Schizosaccharomyces pombe: one gene and its partners. Changing the gene in region 1 together with any one later gene gives a genetic interaction. Each region holds a gene or a part of one and is shown in the gene's direction. Other genes may lie near its edges.

What was found.
Region 2: mutations in SPOM_SPAC15A10.06 (region 1) and pof2 together harm fitness more than expected from each alone (negative genetic interaction), as found in Schizosaccharomyces pombe (one large-scale study listed by BioGRID).
Region 3: mutations in SPOM_SPAC15A10.06 (region 1) and pof10 together harm fitness more than expected from each alone (negative genetic interaction), as found in Schizosaccharomyces pombe (one large-scale study listed by BioGRID).

Annotation. Positions count from the first base shown.
Region 1 is NC_003424.3:3,686,783-3,692,534, forward strand, and holds SPOM_SPAC15A10.06 (CPA1 sodium ion/proton antiporter), read left to right. Parts: upstream 1-1,864; 5' UTR 1,865-1,999; coding exon 2,000-2,024; intron 2,025-2,539; coding exon 2,540-2,856; intron 2,857-2,939; coding exon 2,940-3,659; exon of another isoform or gene 3,660-3,701; coding exon 3,702-4,343; downstream 4,344-5,752. Other genes in the region: cytochrome C oxidase assembly factor Coa2, read left to right, coding at 1,263-1,523; SPOM_SPAC15A10.07 (uncharacterized protein), read left to right, coding at 4,609-5,097.
Region 2 is NC_003423.3:2,615,822-2,623,615, forward strand, and holds pof2 (F-box protein Pof2), read left to right. Parts: upstream 1-2,040; coding exon 2,041-3,231; exon of another isoform or gene 3,232-3,267; coding exon 3,268-3,407; exon of another isoform or gene 3,408-3,454; coding exon 3,455-3,515; 3' UTR 3,516-3,655; downstream 3,656-7,794. Other genes in the region: SPOM_SPBC25B2.10 (Usp (universal stress protein) family protein), read left to right, coding at 700-1,623; TATA-binding protein-associated factor Mot1, read right to left, coding at 3,883-7,794. UniProt on the Schizosaccharomyces pombe protein: Involved in substrate recognition in ubiquitin-dependent degradation.
Region 3 is NC_003423.3:2,923,635-2,932,184, forward strand, and holds pof10 (F-box/WD repeat protein Pof10), read left to right. Parts: upstream 1-1,879; 5' UTR 1,880-1,928; coding exon 1,929-1,986; exon of another isoform or gene 1,987-2,040; coding exon 2,041-3,920; 3' UTR 3,921-4,156; downstream 4,157-8,550. Other genes in the region: rio2 (RIO family protein kinase), read left to right, coding at 379-444, 599-1,567; acl1 (ATP citrate synthase subunit 1), read left to right, coding at 4,380-4,539, 4,587-4,660, 4,925-6,538; fau1 (5-formyltetrahydrofolate cyclo-ligase), read right to left, coding at 6,752-6,864, 6,916-7,077, 7,126-7,254, 7,300-7,428, 7,474-7,555; SPOM_SPBC1703.09 (uncharacterized protein), read left to right, coding at 8,129-8,550. UniProt on the Schizosaccharomyces pombe protein: Probably recognizes and binds to some phosphorylated proteins and promotes their ubiquitination and degradation.

The DNA of each region.
Region 1 (5,752 bases):
TGGTAAAAATCAAATTTTGAATAATCTGACAGTGCCGGTACACACGATATATGAAGTCAATTCTACCTTCCTCAATATGATTTCATAATTCTCATGTAATACAAGTTTTGCTAATAAATTAATTGAATTCATACATCTATCAATAAGTAAGCAAAAACTACCTAAATAACATTCAAAATATGTTTTAATAGCCTTCGAGCTCAACATTTGAATAGGAAAACGAGATATCGTTTCTCTTCAACACCAAGTCTTTTATTTTGAATTCCGGTATGTAAATATCAAGATTTTTATTGTTCCTCCTCTTTTAGGCTAATGAGTTACAATATTTACTAAATGTTAATTGAAACATCCGATTTTACCCGGAAGTAATAGATAGACTGTGTGCATAAGATCAAATGCAGTACTTTGATTAAATACTAGACTTCCAATAATTTTGCAATACCTTGTTAATTCTTCATCTTGAATAAAACATACCCTTAATGTTTTTCTGCTGCTGGTTCCTTACTCTTTTCTGTTTAACGAGAATTTTCCTTTTGATATGGCAAAGGTTTTGCATGTGAAAATGACATTATTCTTTAAAAAATTCCATAAAAAAAAGAATTGTAAACTGTTGGAATTTTAAGATCCAGAAGTTTTTTCTTTGAAGCACACAAAGGTTTAAAAAACTTACATTCATCGATTCAACGCCATTATTTAAATTCCGTGCAAATATTTTACTCAATTATCCTATTTTAGACTCTATTTTAATAATCATATATACTTCAGCTTGCTTATTAGAAGGCCAAACACTTTGGCTATTTGTTTACCAAGGAAATGAAGGAATTGCAGATCCTTAATATTGAAAAAAGCAAAGCATTACTGTTGTTATTTTCTAATTGTTGGACCCGACATATGTTTTTGTTGTTACCATAAAAATGCTCTTGTATTGCTTATACAGGTCCTTCTTTATTTAATTTCTGAATATCTCGTTTTTGTTTCTGACAATTTAAACTAAAGACACAAAAATTAGTAATTAAAGAATGTTTATTTTTTATTAAACATCAATAACTCACAGTCTTTACTGTTTTAGTCATACATTGAATTGTGCCTTCTGAAGAGATCCTTATACTCTCATTGGTCATTGGCCATTGGGATATTCTCTATCCATATGGTACCTTAGTAGAAGTTTTGTAACTCATCTTCAACAATCGTCTCTTCTTCTTACGATTTAGCTGTTTTTTATAATTTTCTCATGTTTTTTTGTTCTTAAAAATTTCTTTCTAATGTTTCGTACTTTGAAAGCTTCACAGAAAAGGTCACTCGTGAACTTGATGTTCGGAACGACTGCTCTTTTCGCAACTGCCACCGTAATTTTCCCTTCATTACTGCCTTGTCCAGCTATGAAGAACCCATATTTGGATACCCAATCTGATCCTGGATATGAAGAATTACCTGAAAACTCTCGTGTTATTGTCATCGATCAACAATCTCCTAAAAGCTCTCTAGTTGCTTCCAAACAAAACAATCCTCCTTCAAAATCTTAATATAGGTCATCATAAAGCTTGAGAAATATTTTTATTATTGCATATATCAATCTCTCCCTTCTCTTCCTTCTTCATTCAATAGTTTCTAGGATTCCTTGCTTCCCTTTTGCGCTAGGTATTTCCCTAACCTACGTTTAGGGACTCCATAATATAATTTAAATACATTTTTTTTACTTCGAAACATCTTATAGTGATTACTTTCGTGTCACTATTAATATTTTTAGTACACTGACTTAAGTTATCTTAACATTTTAGCCCGCACATCTCGGCTGCGCATTAGGTTCTGGTATCTTGCTGTGGTAGTAGTATTTGTACTAGTAAACCCACTTAACGTCCTTACTATATACAGAAAGGTACTGCCGGTTGCTTCAATTCTTAATTATTTTTCTATTATTGCCTTTAGAGTACTCTAGTCAACTCTCAGCATCGCCAGGTTGTTAAAAAAAAGTTAGTTTACCTTTCACTTGGTGCTTTATATGCTTGATACAATTCTTATAAATGGTAAGTTTCCGTTATTCTTTACTTTCAGGTGCACATATAGTAAATCGAATACTATAACAGGCTATACGGATGAATGACACAAGCTACTCATTTATAGCATCAGCCATTTTGAAAACGTGCATTTTTTAACTGAACAAAAAATTGAGTTTGGAGTTTTACCATACGAAATGCTTGCCTTTTTTTTCTTCCATTATTTGTCAGTCTTTTTTTCTGCTTAATCGTTTTGGGATAGGATCTCGATCGCTCTTTACTAGCATTCAGTTCGTCAATACATTTTGGCATTGAATTAGCGGTTATGCGTTACGTTACTTTGAATAACTTCGAATGATGTTTTTCTCTTTATATAACATTTGCATTTGCAGCCAGCAATGTAAAATCTTTCGCCTTTCTTTTTTCTTTAATTTGGCGTCTTTTAATTAAGCAATGCCAGATTCTAAGCATTGGGTTATTCTCCGTATAGCTTATTGTTTAGTTACCAAAATTATTTTTCAACTTTTATTCTGACAATGTTTTAGTTTTTCGTCGAGATGGCGATGACGACGACGATGATGGTCAAGACCCTGCTTTGCAAGAATTATACTCAAGCTGGGCTCTTTTCATATTACTAGTCCTTTTGATTGGTGCCTTGCTTACTAGTTACTATGTTCAATCCAAAAAGATCCGGGCCATTCATGAAACTGTAATTTCGGTATTTGTTGGTATGGTTGTTGGGCTTATCATTCGCGTTTCTCCGGGATTGATTATCCAGAACATGGTTTCTTTTCATTCCACATATTTCTTCAATGTTTTGCTTCCCCCGATTATTCTCAATTCCGGTTATGAATTGCATCAGGTATATAGTTTTGAGTGAAATGCTATACTAAAGTCTCCATTTCTTTCCTTTATCTTTTTGTTATACTTTTCTAACCAATATAGTCAAATTTCTTTCGTAACATTGGTACAATTCTAACATTTGCCTTTGCTGGTACCTTTATATCTGCAGTCACCCTGGGAGTCCTAGTCTACATTTTCTCCTTTCTTAATTTTGAAAACCTTTCTATGACTTTTGTTGAAGCCTTGTCTATGGGTGCAACTTTGTCCGCTACAGATCCAGTTACTGTGCTTGCTATTTTCAACTCGTATAAGGTGGATCAAAAGTTGTATACTATTATTTTTGGAGAGAGTATCCTTAATGATGCTGTTGCAATCGTAATGTTTGAGACGCTGCAGCAATTTCAAGGAAAAACTTTACATTTTTTTACCTTATTCAGCGGTATTGGAATTTTTATTATCACATTCTTTATTAGTTTACTTATTGGAGTTTCTATTGGGCTCATAACTGCGCTTTTGCTAAAGTATTCTTATTTACGCCGTTATCCTTCTATAGAGTCTTGTATTATTCTCCTCATGGCATACACCTCCTACTTTTTTTCAAACGGCTGCCACATGTCAGGCGTAGTTTCCTTATTGTTTTGTGGAATAACGCTAAAGCACTATGCCTTTTTCAACATGTCATATAAAGCAAAGCTTAGCACGAAGTATGTTTTTCGGGTTCTTGCGCAACTCTCGGAAAACTTTATCTTCATTTATCTTGGCATGTCTCTGTTTACCCAGGTTGACTTGGTTTACAAACCAATTTTTATTCTGATTACCACAGTAAGTCAATTTACACTTATTTTCTTTACTAACTTGCCTAAGGTTGCCGTTACCGCATCTAGATACATGAACGTGTTTCCATTGAGCAATTTGCTCAACAAATTCCACCGTCAGAGAAATGGTAACCTCATTGATCATATACCTTACAGTTACCAAATGATGCTTTTTTGGGCGGGCCTACGAGGTGCAGTTGGAGTAGCGTTGGCAGCAGGCTTTGAAGGAGAAAATGCTCAAACGCTGCGAGCGACTACATTGGTTGTTGTCGTCTTGACCCTAATTATATTTGGCGGTACTACTGCCAGAATGCTCGAAATTTTGCATATTGAAACTGGTGTAGCGGCTGATGTTGACAGTGACACAGAAATCGGCATGCTACCTTGGCAACAGTCACCAGAGTTTGATTTGGAAAATAGCGCAATGGAGCTATCAGACGCTTCTGCTGAACCAGTTGTTGTCGACCAACAATTTACGACGGAACATTTTGATGAAGGCAACATTGCACCTACACTTTCTAAGAAGGTTTCAAGCACATTTGAGCAATACCAACGAGCAGCTGGTGCTTTCAACCAATTTTTCCATTCTTCACGAGATGATCAAGCTCAATGGTTAACGCGCTTTGATGAAGAGGTCATAAAACCAGTGCTTCTGGAGAGAGATAACCTTAAAAATGGAACAAAAAAATAATTGTTCCGATTCATAGAATTAATAGTCTACTTATGTTTACACAGTATATGTTCGTGTCAGTTTAATGAATATGCTTTTGGTCTTACGACCTCGTTTCTCCTTTTATCATTTATGAATTTTTAAGAAGGATTTTTTAATGAACTGATCTATTAAAATTCCCGTTGACTTATAGTTGACGTCTATGGTGTGGCATTCGCACATTACACGTACCCAAGTCGATGATTTTCCAACAACTACCAATTTCTTCCTTACTAACATTTTAAGCATGTCCGTAGTCTTTAGGACCGTAGAAGATCCTGAATTAAAGAGTATATGCACCACATTTACCTCTAGCATATCTGCTGAGTTTGATTCAAACACACTCGTATGTGATTTAGTTGAAACAGACCTTTTTACCGAAGAAGGCACATCTCAGATATTTACCTTTAAGAAGAATGTCCTCATTTTGCCAGCAAATGTTCCTGAAGGAATTGAATTACGGATTCTTGAAGAAAATGTTAGTCTTCCATTGAAGGAGTTTGAACCCATTAAAGTGCCAGCAGGTGCACATTGTTTCTTATCATGGGAAAAGGTTCCACTTCGTAAACGTATTAAAATCATATCATCTAGTCAACCAGATGATAATGACGAAGAATCTACATGGCCCGGTGTCTTTATCAAGTTTGGTGTTGAAAATTCTAGCTCTGCCGAATTTGGTGAACCTCTCAAGTCCCAAATTGAAATTCCTGATGATCAAAAGCTCATCGTGCAATAGTTTTGTGGTAATTCCAAGGATGAAATCACTTTGCTAAAAGAACCTGTTAATGATGATGAGTTTCCAGCAAAGGTTCGACGAATATTTTGGTGTTCCTGATAATGAACAAATTTAATACGCATCCACTATTCATTATTAAAATTTCAAGCTCTAACCTTAATTATTGGATGTGTGATCCTTTGATTTCACACATTGTTTATTTAATCATTATTCGGTTAGACTTCCTTTCGTTAAATTAGCATTACAAGTTTATTGACATACATTTCATTTTACAATTTAGCTTTTGAAGATTTAGCTTTGTGAAGTAAACTTTCGCAACATACTTGATGTTTGCTTGAGCAACTTGCTATTGTTTTTGCTTTGTTCGCCGTCTATACGTTTAAGCGATCTATTGTTAAAGGTGCTATTGTTTCAAGTCTTTCTCTGACGAATTTTTGCTGTATGTATTAATTTTTCGATTGCTCAGGTACGTTCACATCTATTAAGGACTGGTTTTTCTCAATTAGTCCTTTTGGATATTATTTAAAAATTTATCCACCGAATACGTTTCCTGAGTTAGTGTAATTAGGCCTCAAAATGGTAATTCAAATTCCTTTTGAAGCCAATTTCCATGCGATGTATGCAATTGTATAAATCGAGAAGGAGCTTAAATAAA
Region 2 (7,794 bases), on another chromosome or scaffold:
TATTGTTTTGGAATTTGGTAATACTGTGTGGCATTATAGACGGTGCACAGAGCCAGAGCAATACTAGAAAAGGCAGTTATAGGAAGAGCCATCTATCAATTAGAAATAATTGCTTACAACTTACACAAAAAACCTGGCTATGTTTATTAACACCTTTTTCACGTTTTAGCTTAATTACCGATACACATTCATCAGCTGCTACAAACCATAAATTGGGAAATATCTTACATATTTGGTAACCGAAAGAATCAAGTAACTAGAATTTAATTACGTTGATTCAGTTTAAAATTTAGTATAACAAGCACCACTGGTTTCCTCATAATGTTAGTTTTAAGATCTTGGGCATTAGCTTAGCACAATAGAATGGAGGGTTGACGCGGCCGTTACACATGACTTCACTTATTTGTCCACCACATACATACTTCCGGCAGCTCACTCTTCGTTGTAGGAAATATCGTAACTTTTAAATATTTATACAAATAAAAGCATTTTGTTTTGAAAAAAGAAGTTTTCTAATATATCATTTGAAAATAATAAACGAATTTCCCAAGTTTAATTAAGGCACCACTTTCAATTTTTTAACATTTACTCCGAATTAGAGTTGAATATAGTACCTTGTTTCATGTACAGGGTCTGCAAAATTGTGCAGAGAAATTGATTGTTTAAAAGTCCCAAAATTTAATCAAGTGAGAAGTTTAGATGAGTGAATCTGCACCCGCTGGTTCGAAGGAGGGAGTTTCATTCGGTAATCTCCCTCGTCCTGAGCCACGAACTTCTAAAGACCAGCAGAAGTTATCCATTTCTACCGATGTTAAAAAACCATCTCATTCTGCTCCTGTTACGCCGGTTCGGAGTGCCAGGAGCTCAATGGAACAGCCAACGTTTCGTCCTGTTGCAAAAAATTCCGTAACAGTGGCACCTGCTCGGGCGGCTGGATTCTGTCCTCCACAATTTGAGGAATATCATCATGGACGTTCCCATAGTCTTGTTTCACCACCTCCGAGTCCACATTTTCTAAAAAGGATTTCGTTCGATACGTTTAATAATAAAGCGGCTACAGATTTTTCCCTGACTCTGAAAACACAACATCAAGCTTACAAGTGGACAAGAACGTCTCGCACTTTTTTGTGTGGCATGGATGGCAATTCGTATTCTGAAGTTGCAGTCGATTGGTTATTCGAAACACTTTTAGCCGACAACGATGAAGCAGTAGTATTAAGAGTAATTGATCCTTCTTCCAAGCTAGCGGAGGATTTATCGGATGAACAATCTTACAGATCTTTAGCTGAACATATCATGGCAGGCATACTCAAGAAAGTTGATGATGATAAAGCTGTTTCTATAATAGTTGAACTCGTGGTTGGTAAACCTCAAGATATGATCCTTCGTACTATACACGTTTATTCACCTGATAGTCTTATTGTCGGTACTCGTGGCAAAGCCTTAAATAGCTTTCAGTCTCTTCTTTCTAGCGGAAGCGTTTCCAAATTTTGTTTACAAAAAAGCCCCATTCCCGTAATTGTTGTTCGACCTGATCGAAAACGAGTTCGTTCAAAAAACAAGCGCCTTAAGGACAAAACGAGAAAGTCCTATATGGAAATTTTAGAGAAAAGCGGTCGCTAATACGAATAGTTCTCTAACTTGCCAATTTATGATTAATACTTGCTTTATGACATGTAATATTTAATGCGTTTGATAAATTATTCGCAAAACGGTTGAACATTGATTTCTTTATTGTCTATTTTAAAAAAGAGCAAAAAAAATAAAGCTTTAATTTTTTTTGTTCGCTAAGCTAAAGCGTGCGGAATTTTAATGTTTAGAGTATATCTATCGTGTATTTGAGATTTCTTAATGTCAATTAATTTGTTTGTCTCTGGATTTAACTATGATAATTTGGAACATGCGTACGTTATGCTGCGTAATTTAGTTGAAATGAAAATTGTTTGTTTACATCCATTTATCATTTTAAGAATTTACGCTTTATTACCAACTCACATATTTTTCATTTATTCCCTATAGAAAAAAAATTTACCTTTACCAATGCGGGTGCCTAATGAAGTTTGTTTTAATATATTATCATATTTGGAAGCCGATGAGCTAAGGTGCAAATCGACAGTTTGTACTTCATGGAGGAATTTTATTATACCCACTTTATGGGAAAAAGTAGTATTTCAAAACGAAGCTCAATTAAATAACTTTTTTGATACTTTACAATACTCCAAGGATGTTTCGTACTATTTCAGGTATTTGCGCAAGCTGAATTGCTCTCGTGTTAGGAAATTTCTTACCGATAAACATTTAATGTTAATGACATTAGCAACAGGGATTTCTCGTCTGAATTTGTCTGGATGTACTCGCATTTCCGAGCCTCTTATTGGTAAACTGTTGTATCAGAATTTGAACTTGGTTACTATAAACTTCAGTAATATTTTCTCTTTACCGGCGAATATACTTGAATATATTTCTGATAATTGCCCTAATTTAAAAGCTTTGAATATTGGGAATTGTGGGTTAGTAGAAGATACCGGTATGGTTCAGATAATAAAACGTTGTCCGTACTTAAATCGGCTCATTATACCGAATTGTCGAAAGCTGACTGACGTCTCATTACAAATACTTTCTGAAAAAGAAGACCTGATTGAATTAGATATTAGTGGATGTGAAGGCTTTCATAATGCGGATACGCTGTCTAGGTTGGTCTCCAGAAATCGAGGTTTGAAAGAATTATCTATGGATGGTTGCACAGAATTGTCACATTTCATCACTTTTTTAAACTTAAACTGTGAATTAGATGCAATGAGGGCATTAAGTCTTAACAATTTACCAGATTTGAAAGACAGTGACATAGAATTGATAACTTGTAAGTTCTCAAAATTAAACTCTCTATTTCTTTCCAAATGCATTGGATTGACTGATTCGTCACTTTTAAGCTTAACAAAGCTTTCTCAATCTTTAACGACTCTTCATTTGGGACATTGCTATGAGATAACCGATATTGGTGTTCAATGTCTTCTAAAGTCATGTAAAAATATAACTTACATTGACTTCGGTGGTTGCCTTCGTTTGAGTGATATAGCAGTAAGTGCTATTGCTAAGTTGCCATATCTTCAAAGAGTAGGTTTGGTCAAATGCATTTGCCTTACTGACCTTTCTGTAATCTTACTAAGTGGGTCTTTTTCCAGAAACCTTGAACGAGTACATCTTTCTTATTGCATTGGACTAACCGCAAAGGTATGTAAAATATGCTATCTTTTCTAACCAAATTAGTCGGTTAGTTATTTGATGTATAACTGTAAAACGTTAAAGCATCTTAGCGTTACTGGAATTAACTCTATATTATGCACAGAATTGCGATCTTTTTCCCGTCCAATTCCAGATGGAATAAACCCGTCCCAAGTCCCGGTATTGTAAGTCTGTGGTTTTGACCTCTTAATAGTCACTAACTAATATACAGCTGTGCGTTCACTAAGGTCGAGATTGATTTGTTTCGAGAATTTATTCGTAATAGAATATAGAAATCAAACTTTTCACAGTTTCATTTAAGGCTTCAATTGACATGATGGCGTGCTTGTCCTTAACTATTCAATAATAAAACATTTTATAAAAAACGTTATTTACTCCGCAAGGTTTTTTTTTTTTTTTTTTTTTTTTTTTTTTTTTTTTTTTGATTGAACTAATCAGCAGATGGTAGCTATATATTTACAAGTACAAAAAAGTAGATTTATTACATATTATCAAAAAAACCTCTCACTCTTACAAAAGATAAGTTAAACATAGTTTCTTAAAAGAAAACCTATTTTATTGTACACCTTTCATATTGCATTACCATTCACATTAGTTAATAATTAATTTTTTTTATGGGGGTTCCATACTAACTCCTGTTCAAGAAGCATCCTTGGGTAAAGTAGATATGAAACCATCCAAATTAAATTCATCATATTGGGATTCATCCCACATTTCTGGAAGCCCTTCAAGAGCCTTTTTAGAAGTACCACTTAGACCGCGACCTGCCGCATCTTCCGATTCTTCTTTGTCAATATTTTGTACAGTTTGTTGTTCATCAGCAGTAGTGTTAAAAAGGTCTAAAATCTGATCGGTTCCAATTGAAGAAAGACCAGCATTTTGCTGATTAACAACCGTTGATGCCACGTTCATTTTAAACCTCTGAAGGCCCATTATTTTTTCCTCAAGACATCCTCGAGTGATTAAACGATACACATTCACCACCTTTTTTTGTCCAATACGATGAGCTCTGTCCATTGCCTGCAAATCTCGCATGGGATTCCAGTCATGCTCAACAAAAATAACGGTATCAGCACCAGTAAGATTAAGACCAAGACCACCAACATGAGTCGTTAACAGAAGAACATCTATTGAAGGATCATTATTGAATTTGGTAACAGCCTCTTGACGCTTGGTTGGCTCAACTGACCCATCAAGGCGCATGTAAGTAACATCGGGCATAGTAGCTTGCAACAGATCTTTCTCAACCATATCTAACATGTCTTTGAGCTGGCAGAAAATCAACACACGATGTTCACTAACTGCATTCGTTAATGCACTATCAATACCATTCGAGTTTACTGAAGAATTACCCAAGCCACAATCTCGAAGCAATTGACCAAGTGCAGTCAATTTTGGAGCATGCTTTAAGTCATGTAAACCACTATTTTCTTTAGCTAATTGCTTAACAATGGCATTTCGTTTTGGATGCTTCTCTGTCAAAATCAAAGCAGGATGATTGCAAAGTTTACGCATGTATTGCAAAGCCTGGAAAATATGAGCTTTCTGGGATTTCTTCTTTCTTGTACCTTGAGTTTTTTCCGTTTCATCATCTTCGAGCTCTTCATTGATGTTCAACTGAGATACAAAATCATTAAGAAGCTTTCTTTGCAGATCGCTCATATCACAATAATAATCTTGTATTATCTTTGGGGGCAAATCTGCTAAAACATCTTCTTTTAATCGCCTAAGCATAAACGGAAGCACTTGCTTATGGATAGCCTCGAGTGCCAAAGTGCCTCTTTCCCGCTCTTTCGATGAGCTTTTTGCATCACGACTAGCAGCGATAGGACGAACAAATCGTTCTTGAAATGTCTTTTCAGTTCCCAAAAACCCAGGCATTAGAAAATCAAAAAGAGACCAAAGCTCTAGCACATTGTTTTGAATAGGTGTTCCTGACAGAATTAGTCGATGATAGGACCTTAAACTTTTAACCGCTTTTGTGAGCTTAGCTCGTGCATTTTTTATAACATGACCCTCGTCAAGAACACAGTAGTTCCAGTCAATTTTTACTAATTCATCCACATCATTCCGACATATGTCATAAGACGTGACAACAACATCGGACTTCTTCATTTTTGATCTTATTTTTGCTCTTTCCGCTGGAGGTCCTACATATGCAGACACTTTCAAAAATGGTGCATAAGTACTAAGTTCTTGCTGCCAATGGCCGGCTAATGTAGATGGACACACTATCAACGAAGGAACGTGAGCAAACTTGGGACTTCCTGATTCTTCAAATAATTTTTGGCGGTTATAATGATCACTTGCGACTATACAAATAGTTTGCAAAGTCTTACCCAACCCCATATCATCACATAAAATCCCATGAAGTTCATACTTATTTAAGAAAGCCAGCCAATTAACACCTTCCTGTTGATATTTCCTTAAATCAGCAGAGATGGGGACAGGAATTGAGAATGCTTCGACCTTAGAAGGATTCAGCATTTGTTCTAAAAATTTGCGCTCCTTTTCACGACTATCAAGTAGATATTGAGGCAAGTCTGGCGGATCAGGAAGTCCAGCTTCAAGTGGTACTAATTTAACAAGTGTTGCAAAGGAAGTCGTAGCTAGCACACGTACATCCTGGTCAGCATCACTCATTCGACCTAACAAGGGAATAATTAAGTAAAGTATGTAGGGAAGGATACGGACTCCTAGACGTTGAACAACATGATATATGCACTCAATAGCTCCTTGTCTGTGGATTGTGCTACTAGCATCTCCTAAAAGTGGAACAACATCCTCAACAAGAAGATGAAGAGCCTTTGATCCCGCAGCATTTGATTCAGTAATAGCAGCAAAGCATTTTGATGCCATATTGCGTACGGCGGAATAATTCGATTGTAAAGTTGCTAGTAAATGAGGCAAAGTACTGACAATTTCAGATTGAAGACCGGAATCTAAGTACGCAACTAAAAATCGCAATATAGACATTGCATCCAGTAAGTCTTGCCCAACTGTACAGCTGGCCTGGTCAACTTCACTAGGAAATCCAGATTCAGCGTATTGCTGTAAAGGAACAAATAGACACTGGGACAACACGGGTACCCTAGAAAATAGGGAGCTGCCAAAATTTTGAGCCATTTGTTGAAGCGTTAGCTGCGCACCCATTCTTTGTAAGACAGCAGCATCCTTATCCGAAACTGAAGACAGCGAAGACTTTCTGTCGTTACTTACATCATCGGAATCATCAACTAACTTCCCTGAGACCTGTTCATCGTTGTCATCGCTTGTGCCTATACTATGTAAAGACAATATTCCATTTTTCCCTGAGTCATGAAATATTGGAGTTTCAGTAGTATCCATACATACATAAGCACATAAATTTCTAACGATTTTCTCAGAAATAACTTGCCGAGATTCTTTATAGCATGCTGAAATTAACTTCATCATAGCTGATGCTGAATGCATTTGAAGACAAGAAAATTGTTCCTTTTTTATGGACTCCATAATACCCTTAATTATTGAATTTAACTTTTTCGGAAGCTTATCATATGTAACCATCGCGGAAGCAATTGAAGCACTACACTGAATATCCTGTCTTTCTTTTGCAATTTTGTAAATAGAGATCTCGTCAATTATTAAATATTTTATCTCGTTTAGGGCTTTTGACGATTGCGCTTTTTGAGAGGGGGACAACAACTTGCATAAATTTTCATATGTAGGACCAACGAGTTTTTCAGCATCCGCTATACCAAAGGCAATTGGGCCAGCTTCGGGATCCCCTTTGACAACAACAGCTAATGAAGGAATTTTTGAACGAGAAAGACGCCCTACATCCAAAAAGGTGTTGAGCAATGCATTACACTGGGCACGTACAACATGTAATTGTGAAACTAAGTTTGCGTAATTTTCTCTAGGAACAGTAGCAAATTGGTCACAAAGCAAGTGATACAATTCATCTTTTTGGATAGTAAGGTCATTATCTTCAACTTCAAAAAAAGATTCAATGAGTCTAGAACCTAATACGACAGGGGTTGAAAAAGACGATGTTAAACAAGCTTGTAAGAATGGCTTGAAAAACAAAAGAATTTCATCTCTTTTCCAACGTCCTATAATCCTACCAAGTAAAGAGGAGGCTCTAAGCCTTGCCTTTAACATTCGCTCTTCACCTACGAATTCAACGTCTCCGTTAAGCATAGGTTCGTCAACCGAAAAACAAAAAGACCCTTTTGGATCATCTTTTGCCCTATGCTTGGTGCGGCTATTACTTAACTCGGAAATATTATTATTGCGTTCGCGAGACGTAGAAGGAGCATACGGTTGACCAGAAGGTTTGACAATCAAGGTAGTATCCAAAGGATATGGCCTCCTAAAAGAACCAATGGGAGTGATTGAGACCTTTAACATAGGCTCAATATGAGAATATAATAATTTAGAGAAAGATTCCGGTCCATCACGATACAGAATGTCCATAACACGCTGAGCAAGTTCGCAAGAGGATTTCGAGATATCCTCTTGTTGTTCGAGTAAAACATTTTGGAAACATAAACGAAGAGTTAAACCCGT
Region 3 (8,550 bases), on another chromosome or scaffold:
GTAGGCCTTTTTTATTCGTTTCGTTACTGTCAGTATTTTAATTTTATGTTATTTATATCAAAGGGAAGGTTTAATGTATATTTTAAGTAATCCTAATTAATAAATTATTGAGAAATGCTTAAATAAGATATTTAAAGACAAAATTGTGTATAGCTCTCATATTTTAAAAAAGTTGGTATTCATTTTTGTGGTTACATAATTTTAAAGCGTGAAGTAAAAAATGTTTCTCAGATGGCAAGTAATACTTTAAGCACACTTAGCCAAAACACCAACCATTTTGACGAGAACCACAATTTAGTGATTGTCGGAATTGAACTTTGATTAGCATTCTTACTTATTTTTTTATTTTTAGCAAGAAAAAAAGTTAAGCTCGTCAAGATGGTAAATTTGAATATAAAAGCAATGAGATATCTTTCTGCCGAGGATTTTCGCACTCTGACAGCTGTAAGCACTTTATTTTATCTTTGGGCAGTCATATAGCTTAAATCGTTTTGATCGTACAATGTTTTGTATTTTCTTACTTATTGACACATACGATATGATGCATTCAATTAATTATATTTTGATTTCAATAAGTATTCGAACTAACAAGTTATAGGTAGAAATGGGAAGCCGTAATCATGAAGTTGTTCCAACGAATATGATTAATCAAATTGCTAAAATACGCGGTGGCTCTTGTACGAAATCATTGTCCGTTTTGTTTATGCATAAATTAATTGCAAAGGTGCCGCATATCAGCTATGAGGGCTATCGACTAACATATGCGGGATATGATTACTTGGCATTGAAGGCCTTGTCAAAGAGAGCATCCGTTTACTCTGTCGGTAATCAAATAGGCGTCGGTAAAGAATCTGATGTCTACGTCGTAGGAGACCAAAAAGGAAAGCAATATATCTTAAAAATCCACAGGCTTGGGCGTATATCTTTCCGGAGTGTAAAAAACAATAGAGATTATTTGAGAAATCGTAAAACTGGATCATGGCAGTATCTGTCTCGATTAGCTGCCACAAAAGAATTTGCTTTTATGAAGATCTTGCATGAGCATGGTTTCCCTGTACCTGCTCCAATTGATCATTCCAGGCATTGTATTATCATGGAAATGATTGATGCGTTTCCTCTTCGTGCTGTTACTGACATTCGTGATCCACCTGCTCTATATCAGACATTAATGGATATTATCGTTCGATTTGCAAGGAATGGGTTAATACATGGTGATTTCAACGAATTTAACATCATTGTTCGTGAAGATGGAACAGCTGTTGTAATTGATTTTCCGCAAATGGTATCTACTAGTCATCCTGATGCGCAATTTTATTTTGATAGAGACGTACAGTGCATTGTGCAATATTTTGAAAAAAACTATCAATACAAAGGTGATGTTCCTAATTTCGAAGACATATCGAAAATGGAAAAGGAAAATAATTTGGATATCATGATTGAGGCTTCAGGATTTAATAAGAAACAATCTAAAGAACTAGAAAAATATAGACAAGAAGAAGAAAAAAGAAAAGAAAATGGTGATGATTTATCTGATAACTATGAAGAAGAAGAAGAAGAGAAGGAATGATGGTTTTAATGAAACCATATTGCACAATTGCATGTTCAGTAAAATCATTTATTCATTTTATTAGGTATTTCTGGTGTTAGGGACTAGCATAGGGTTAATATATTCAGCTTTTTTGGTTACTGTTTTAAATTTTCATTTCAATTTGGATGTAGATAAAAGCATTTTAATTAATCTATCAAAAGATACAAGCAAACATTAATTTTCGAATATAAAATGCTCGTTAATTAATGATTACAGGACGTTTTCTGAGCGATACGTTGGTACACGTAGTAAGTTCCACTTTATATACTAAGGCAAAACGCCAAGACCAATGAAATCGGAACCAACATCTTTGGATTTTACATCCTCAAACCTAAGGAGAATGAATCGGGATCATTCTTCAAATAATACGAATAGAACAGTTTTAAACCTGCCAAAAGGTAAATTCTCACACATTCAATTTTAGTTTTCGAGATTTTGTTAACTTTTTCTAGAAATTTTGATCATTATATTTTCGTTTCTTGATCCTCGCTCTTTACTTTCTGCTCAATGCACTTGCAAATATTGGAAAAAGTTATTATCCGATGATTTAAGTTGGCGTACTGCTTTTTTTCATCACTTTGCGGGTGATCAGTCGCAAATATTTAGTCCACTAGGTAATGGAACATGGCGGCAAGAATATCTTTTACGTTCTACCATTACTAGAGCTTATGAAAAAGGGAAAGGGCAAACAGTTCAGTATGATTGTCGCGTTGGACAATTGACCAACCTTTATTACGACTTTTCTTCAGGAAGGCTTTATTCAGGAAATTGGCTTACTGGAACAATCTCCGTTTCCGACCCTACCACTGGAAAGGTTGAGAGGTCTTTATTACATGCTAGTACTGATGGCAGCTTTACGCATGGATTATCTACAATGACATTGGGGAAACAAATTTTTGGCTTTGGTTTTATGGATGGTCGCGTTGGAGTTATTTTGATGTCACGTCAAGCCGAGACTCCTCGAAAATTTCGTTATTGTCTGGATTCCCATGCTGATTCAGTTACATGCATTGATGCATTAACCGGTGATTTGCCCCCCACTGGGGAAATCGGTATGGTTACTGGATCAGATGATGGATCCGTGCATTGCTGGGATGTTAAAACAGGTGTTAGTCTTCAATCATTTCAATTCCGTTCTTCACAAATCCTTTCTTTGTGTTTCAGGCCGAAATACAAAATGCTACTCGTTGACACTTTTAATTATGAACTTAACTCATATCAATTATACTTAATACCGGGCTATGCTCGCTCCCGAAAGAATGAGCAGCCTATACTTTTATCGTCCAGAAAATGTGTGTTAACTGATGAAGAGGAACCTCCTTGTCTGATGACGGCAGATTGCTGTGCCGGTGTTGCCTTCTTGTCCAGGGGCGCACCGAAAAATTGTATTTGTCGAGTTTCATTTAAAGAATTTTTGGAGAAAAACGATAATGTCGGCGTTCAAACATCTTCAATTCCTCTCAACGGAAAACCAACCTCAATCTCCTTAGATACGAACGATCGTGTGTTGTCAAAATCAACTCCTGGTAGAGGAGCAAGACTGCTCGCTGTTGGTGATGAAAATGGTTTGGTTTATGTTGTAAACACTCGCACTGAAGATCCTAACAAGGCCATTCTTAGAACTATTACTGCATACTCAAATTTTCCTATTACCGATATTTACTTGAATGAAGTTGCAATGGTAGTAGGGTCGGCTAGCGGCTATTGCGGAGTATACGATACCGTTACTGGGAATTTTTTGAAAAAAATAGCGAGTGCCAGGAATGCTGCTAGAAGAGAACCAATTAATTGCATACTGCTTGACTCAAATCCGTTAAGTTTGAAAGGTGTGATCACCATGAGCAAGCATGTCAAATCTTGGTCTTATACAATTCCCAAACCTTTTGTTAATAAAAGGTCCAAGGTTTTACCCTTGAGACCTTCGGTGACACACGATAATCTGTCGAAGTCGTCTGACTACTCAAAAAATGAAGTCGAAAGAGAAATCATGTTAGGTTTGGACCAAATTGCTCAGGAAAGACGAGAAAAAATGGAAGCCCGGCAAAAATTTGAACAGCATTTTGGTGAGGGCTTGGTTGGTTTAAGTGAAGAAGAAATCATAGCATATGTTACCATGCTTTCACAAGAAGAGGAAGCTAAGAGAATGGTTCAGCTCTCCATGGATGTTGATAAAATAGAAGAAGATTTTAAAGAAAACGATGAACAAGCTACATCGTCATTAAATGCTTTAAGTTCAAATCATGAGCCACCGCAAGAACAAGCGAATGTTGCTGAACTGAACGAACAAGAGCAGATTGAACTAGCCATGCGATTATCACTCATGGAAATGTGATACACCTAGTAGTTTACTAAGAGGGAAAAAGTAGAAAAATATACGTTAGTTAAATTTTTGCATCTGCATATAGTCATGTCCTTCATCTATTTATTACATGCTTCATCAATCTTCCGAAGTAAAAAAAGGAGGAGGATTCAAGGGATTTTGGTGGGAATTTTTATAATTCAAAATAGAGGTTACTTTAATTTTGTTAATAAAATCTTTTAGGAATACGTATTTTCTTATATCCTACTATGCTTATTTAAGGATAATATTATTGCTTAATAAAAGCATAAAAAAATATTCTTAAGGCATACGCACCGTTGATCAGTGAATGTATAAAAAGTATCGCTTGATTGCGTTATCTGATTTTCAAAATTTCAATTATCGCAAACATCTCGTTAAATGTAAAAAAGTGTTCAGCAAAACAATGAGCGAACGTTCCTTACCTCCTCCAACACAGTGACAAGAACAACAATGGCGGGATCAGTGGATAAACCTTCTTATGAGCTTTTTTCCAAGGACACCAGAGCCTTTGTGTATGGCATGCAGACAAAGGCTGTTCAAGGAATGCTTGACTTTGATTATATGTGTGGTAGAACTGTTCCATCTGTAGCTGCTATCATATATACGTTCGGTATGTGCTTCGTTGATATAAAAATTTGAATACTAACGCGTGCTTAGGAAGTCAAAGTATCAGCAAGCTTTATTGGGGTACTAAAGAAATTCTGTTGCCTGTTTATCGTACAATTGAAGAAGTAAGTTGTCCGCATAAATATGCTTATTAGTTTGCAAATAAGCGTTTTAGCAAAAGATGTTCATGCTGATTTTCGATATTACATCAGTGATTCGTTTTCTACAACAAATCGCAGACGGAAATGATTAAATCACAGTAAGACTATTTTCTTTAAGTTTGAATTCAATTTCGATTATTTTGCAGAAAATAGAAATGCTGCGACTAGCATTATCACTAATAAAAAAAATTTTCTAATCTTAAAAGATTTATTAACTGAAATAATTAGGCATGTACCAAACATCCTGAGGTTGACGTCGTTGTTAATTTTGCTTCGAGCCGTAGTGCTTATGCCTCAACTATGGAGTTGATGGAGTTTCCTCAAATTCGCTGTATTGCAATTATTGCGGAAGGTGTCCCTGAGCGCCGTGCTCGTGAGATATTGGTAACCTCTAAGGAGAAGAATGTGGTTATTATTGGGCCTGCTACCGTTGGTGGTATTAAACCAGGATGTTTCAAAATCGGAAATACTGGTGGTATGATGGACAACATTGTAGCTTCCAAGCTTTATCGTCCTGGATCTGTTGCATACGTTTCCAAGTCAGGCGGTATGTCTAATGAGTTAAACAATATCATTTCGCATACCACTGATGGCGTCTATGAGGGTATTGCTATTGGAGGTGACCGTTATCCAGGTACTACTTTTATTGATCATCTTATCCGCTTCGAAGCTGATCCCGCTTGCAAGCTGATGGTACTTCTAGGCGAAGTAGGTGGAGTGGAAGAATACCGTGTCATTGAAGCTGTTAAGAACGGTACAATTAAAAAGCCTATTGTTGCTTGGGCTATTGGTACATGCTCTAGTATGTTTAAAACCGAGGTTCAATTTGGACATGCTGGTTCATTTGCCAACTCTGAGTTGGAGACTGCTGTCGCCAAGAATCAGGCTATGAGAGAAGCTGGTATATATGTTCCTGAAACATTTGAAAAGCTTCCTGCGTTGCTACAAGAGGTTTATGAGGGTCTTGTGAAAAAGGGTGTTATTGTTCCTCAACCTGAGGTCGCACCACCTAACATTCCTTTAGATTATGCTTGGGCTAAGGAATTAGGCTTGGTTCGTAAGCCCTCTTCCTTCATTTGCACTATCTCCAACGACCGTGGTTCTGAGTTGACTTATAACAACGTTCCCATCTCTAAGGTTTTTGAAGAAGAACTTGGAATTGGTGGTGTCATTTCTCTTTTATGGTTGCGTCGCCGCTTACCTTCATATGCTACAAAGTTCTTGGAAATGGTCCTTCAATTGACGGCTGATCACGGACCATGTGTGTCTGGCGCTATGAATACCATTATTACTACCAGAGCAGGAAAAGATTTGATTTCTTCACTTGTTGCCGGTTTGCTTACTATCGGTACCCGATTCGGTGGTGCGCTTGATGGAGCTGCTCAAGAGTTTTCTAAAGCTTATGACGCAGGGTTATCTCCACGTGCTTTTGTTGACTCTTGCCGTAAGGCCAACAAATTGATTCCTGGTATTGGACATAGAATTAAGAGTAGAAATAATCCTGATCTTCGTGTTGAATTGGTCAAGGGTTACGTTAAAAAGAATTTCCCTTCAACTAAGCTCTTAGATTACGCTTTGGCCGTAGAGAATGTCACTACTTCCAAGAAGGATAACCTTATCTTGAACGTTGATGGCTGTATTGCTGTATGCTTTGTCGATTTACTTCGTAACTGTGGTGCTTTCACTCTTGAAGAAGCTAATGAATATATCAATTTGGGTATCTTGAATGGTATGTTCGTGTTGGGACGTAGTATTGGTCTTATTGGTCATCATCTCGATCAGAAACGTCTTAGGGCACCTCTTTATCGTCACCCTTGGGACGATTTCTTGTATTTGTCTTAGATTATGAACTTAAGTTTGTTCTGTTTTGGAATAGGTTTTGCTTTTCGGATTATCGTGAACAGTCTTCTAGTGGTCGTTTGGATTGACTTCTCCGCCGTACGAAAATATTTTACCAGAGATTTAAGGGGACTTAAAATTTGTTTATTATTAGTCCATAAATATTAATACGTAGTCATCTAAATTGCAACTTGCAGATAAGAATAAGATTTTGTACTATATATTTCTGATTACTTTTTCCGGCGTAACAAGGGCATCCAGTTTTTGGTCTCTGGTATCCATTGGGATTTCTCGATTTGGAAGTATTTGTTCTTTAAGGCAAATTCCCACTGGTCACGTTAGTTGTTTATATGAATTACACAGCGAGATTGGAAACGAACCTTTGAACATGTTAGCTCGTGATTCCTTTTGTAACGCCCAGCTTTGATACTTGGAAATGTAATTGTCATAGTACCCCTTTCCATGCCCTAGTCTAGATAATTTTTCATCAAAAGCGACTCCCGGAACTATTATAAGTTCACAGTCTGTTTCATCATCCATAACTAAATATGATTAATAGATTGAACAATTCTACCAGAATTTTAACCAACTCTTTCTTGATTCTCCATTGGGCTCAGCAATACCCCATTTGTTAATCGTCAAGGACTCAGTTTTCTCGAAAACTTGATACATTTCCATTACATGCGAACCAATACATTTAGGTATGAAAACATTTTTGCCTATTTTTGCATGATTAGTAATGTATTGAAAGATTTAATACTAACCTTCTTTGAAAGCCACGTCTATAAGGCATCTAGTTCGTACTTCTTTTTTTGGCATGTTCATGTACAGACAGACATTTTTGCATCTTTTCCATTCGGGTAATTCGACCACTTGTTTGCAAATGGAAATTGCTTTATGCATTTAATTGTTAAGCTTGATATTTTAAGTATACTTACATTGAGAATCAATAATATGATCCGCAAGTTTGCCTAAACTGCTATTTAAAATAGCACGTAGTTGATTCTTTTTTAAACTCATTACTTTGACTAATACGACTTAATATTTATAGTTAGTAAAAGCTTTGTTAGTGAGGTTCACAATATTATCAATATTAATCTGACTCGTGTTATAAATCGGTTATCAATTTTATAGAATATAATATATATACTAGGTAATCAAAATTCATGTTAATATTAAATGAATTAATAGCTTGAGTTAATTGTATATCTAAGAAATATCCAAATGTTCAGTAAGAAGTTAAGTATTAAAAAAATTTTCCAATACAATTTATGATGACAATTGTTTAAAATTAAAATATAGGTTCAACGATGGCGTAAAACCATTTTATGCACTTAAACTTGCTGATATTGTTAAAAATATTGATTGATTTACCTATTTTACATTGCGCGCAAGTTTTCAGATATGTATTCCTTAGTTGACTGAATACTTACTGACAGTTCTTTTGTTAATTCATACCTCCTCTACCACGACTCTCTTAAATCTTCAAAAACATTTGTTTCTGTGTTTTATAAGATATTTGGAGAAGCTTCTTATTTTATTTTTGTAATTCATCATACTTGTCAGAGCCTGAAATGCGTTTTTTTTGTAGGCATGCAGGATAATCAGGTTCTTGCGAATACGGCGAGTATGATCATGCCAAAATCTTCGTTTATTACTACTAAGCAGCTATGGGAAATAGTGTTACAAGGAAAAGTTGAAGCAACGGAATTTATCCCTGCAGATGTTTCTGATAGTACACAAACTGTTGACCGTTCTAACAAAATATCTCCTATCACGTCTCAGTTAACTATAGAACCAAACAAATCTCAAACCATTGTTAAGAAGAATCCAGATAATTTAATTTTCGTTGCAGTTAACCAAAACGTTCAACTACAATTATCAATATTAAAGCAACAACAGAACAGAGTTGCTGCTATGGAATCAGCATTACAGCGAATTCATCTAGAAATTACTGCGATGTCAGAACAATTGATTTTGCAAAAGTATCAAAAAAATCGGTTCTTTTTCATGTC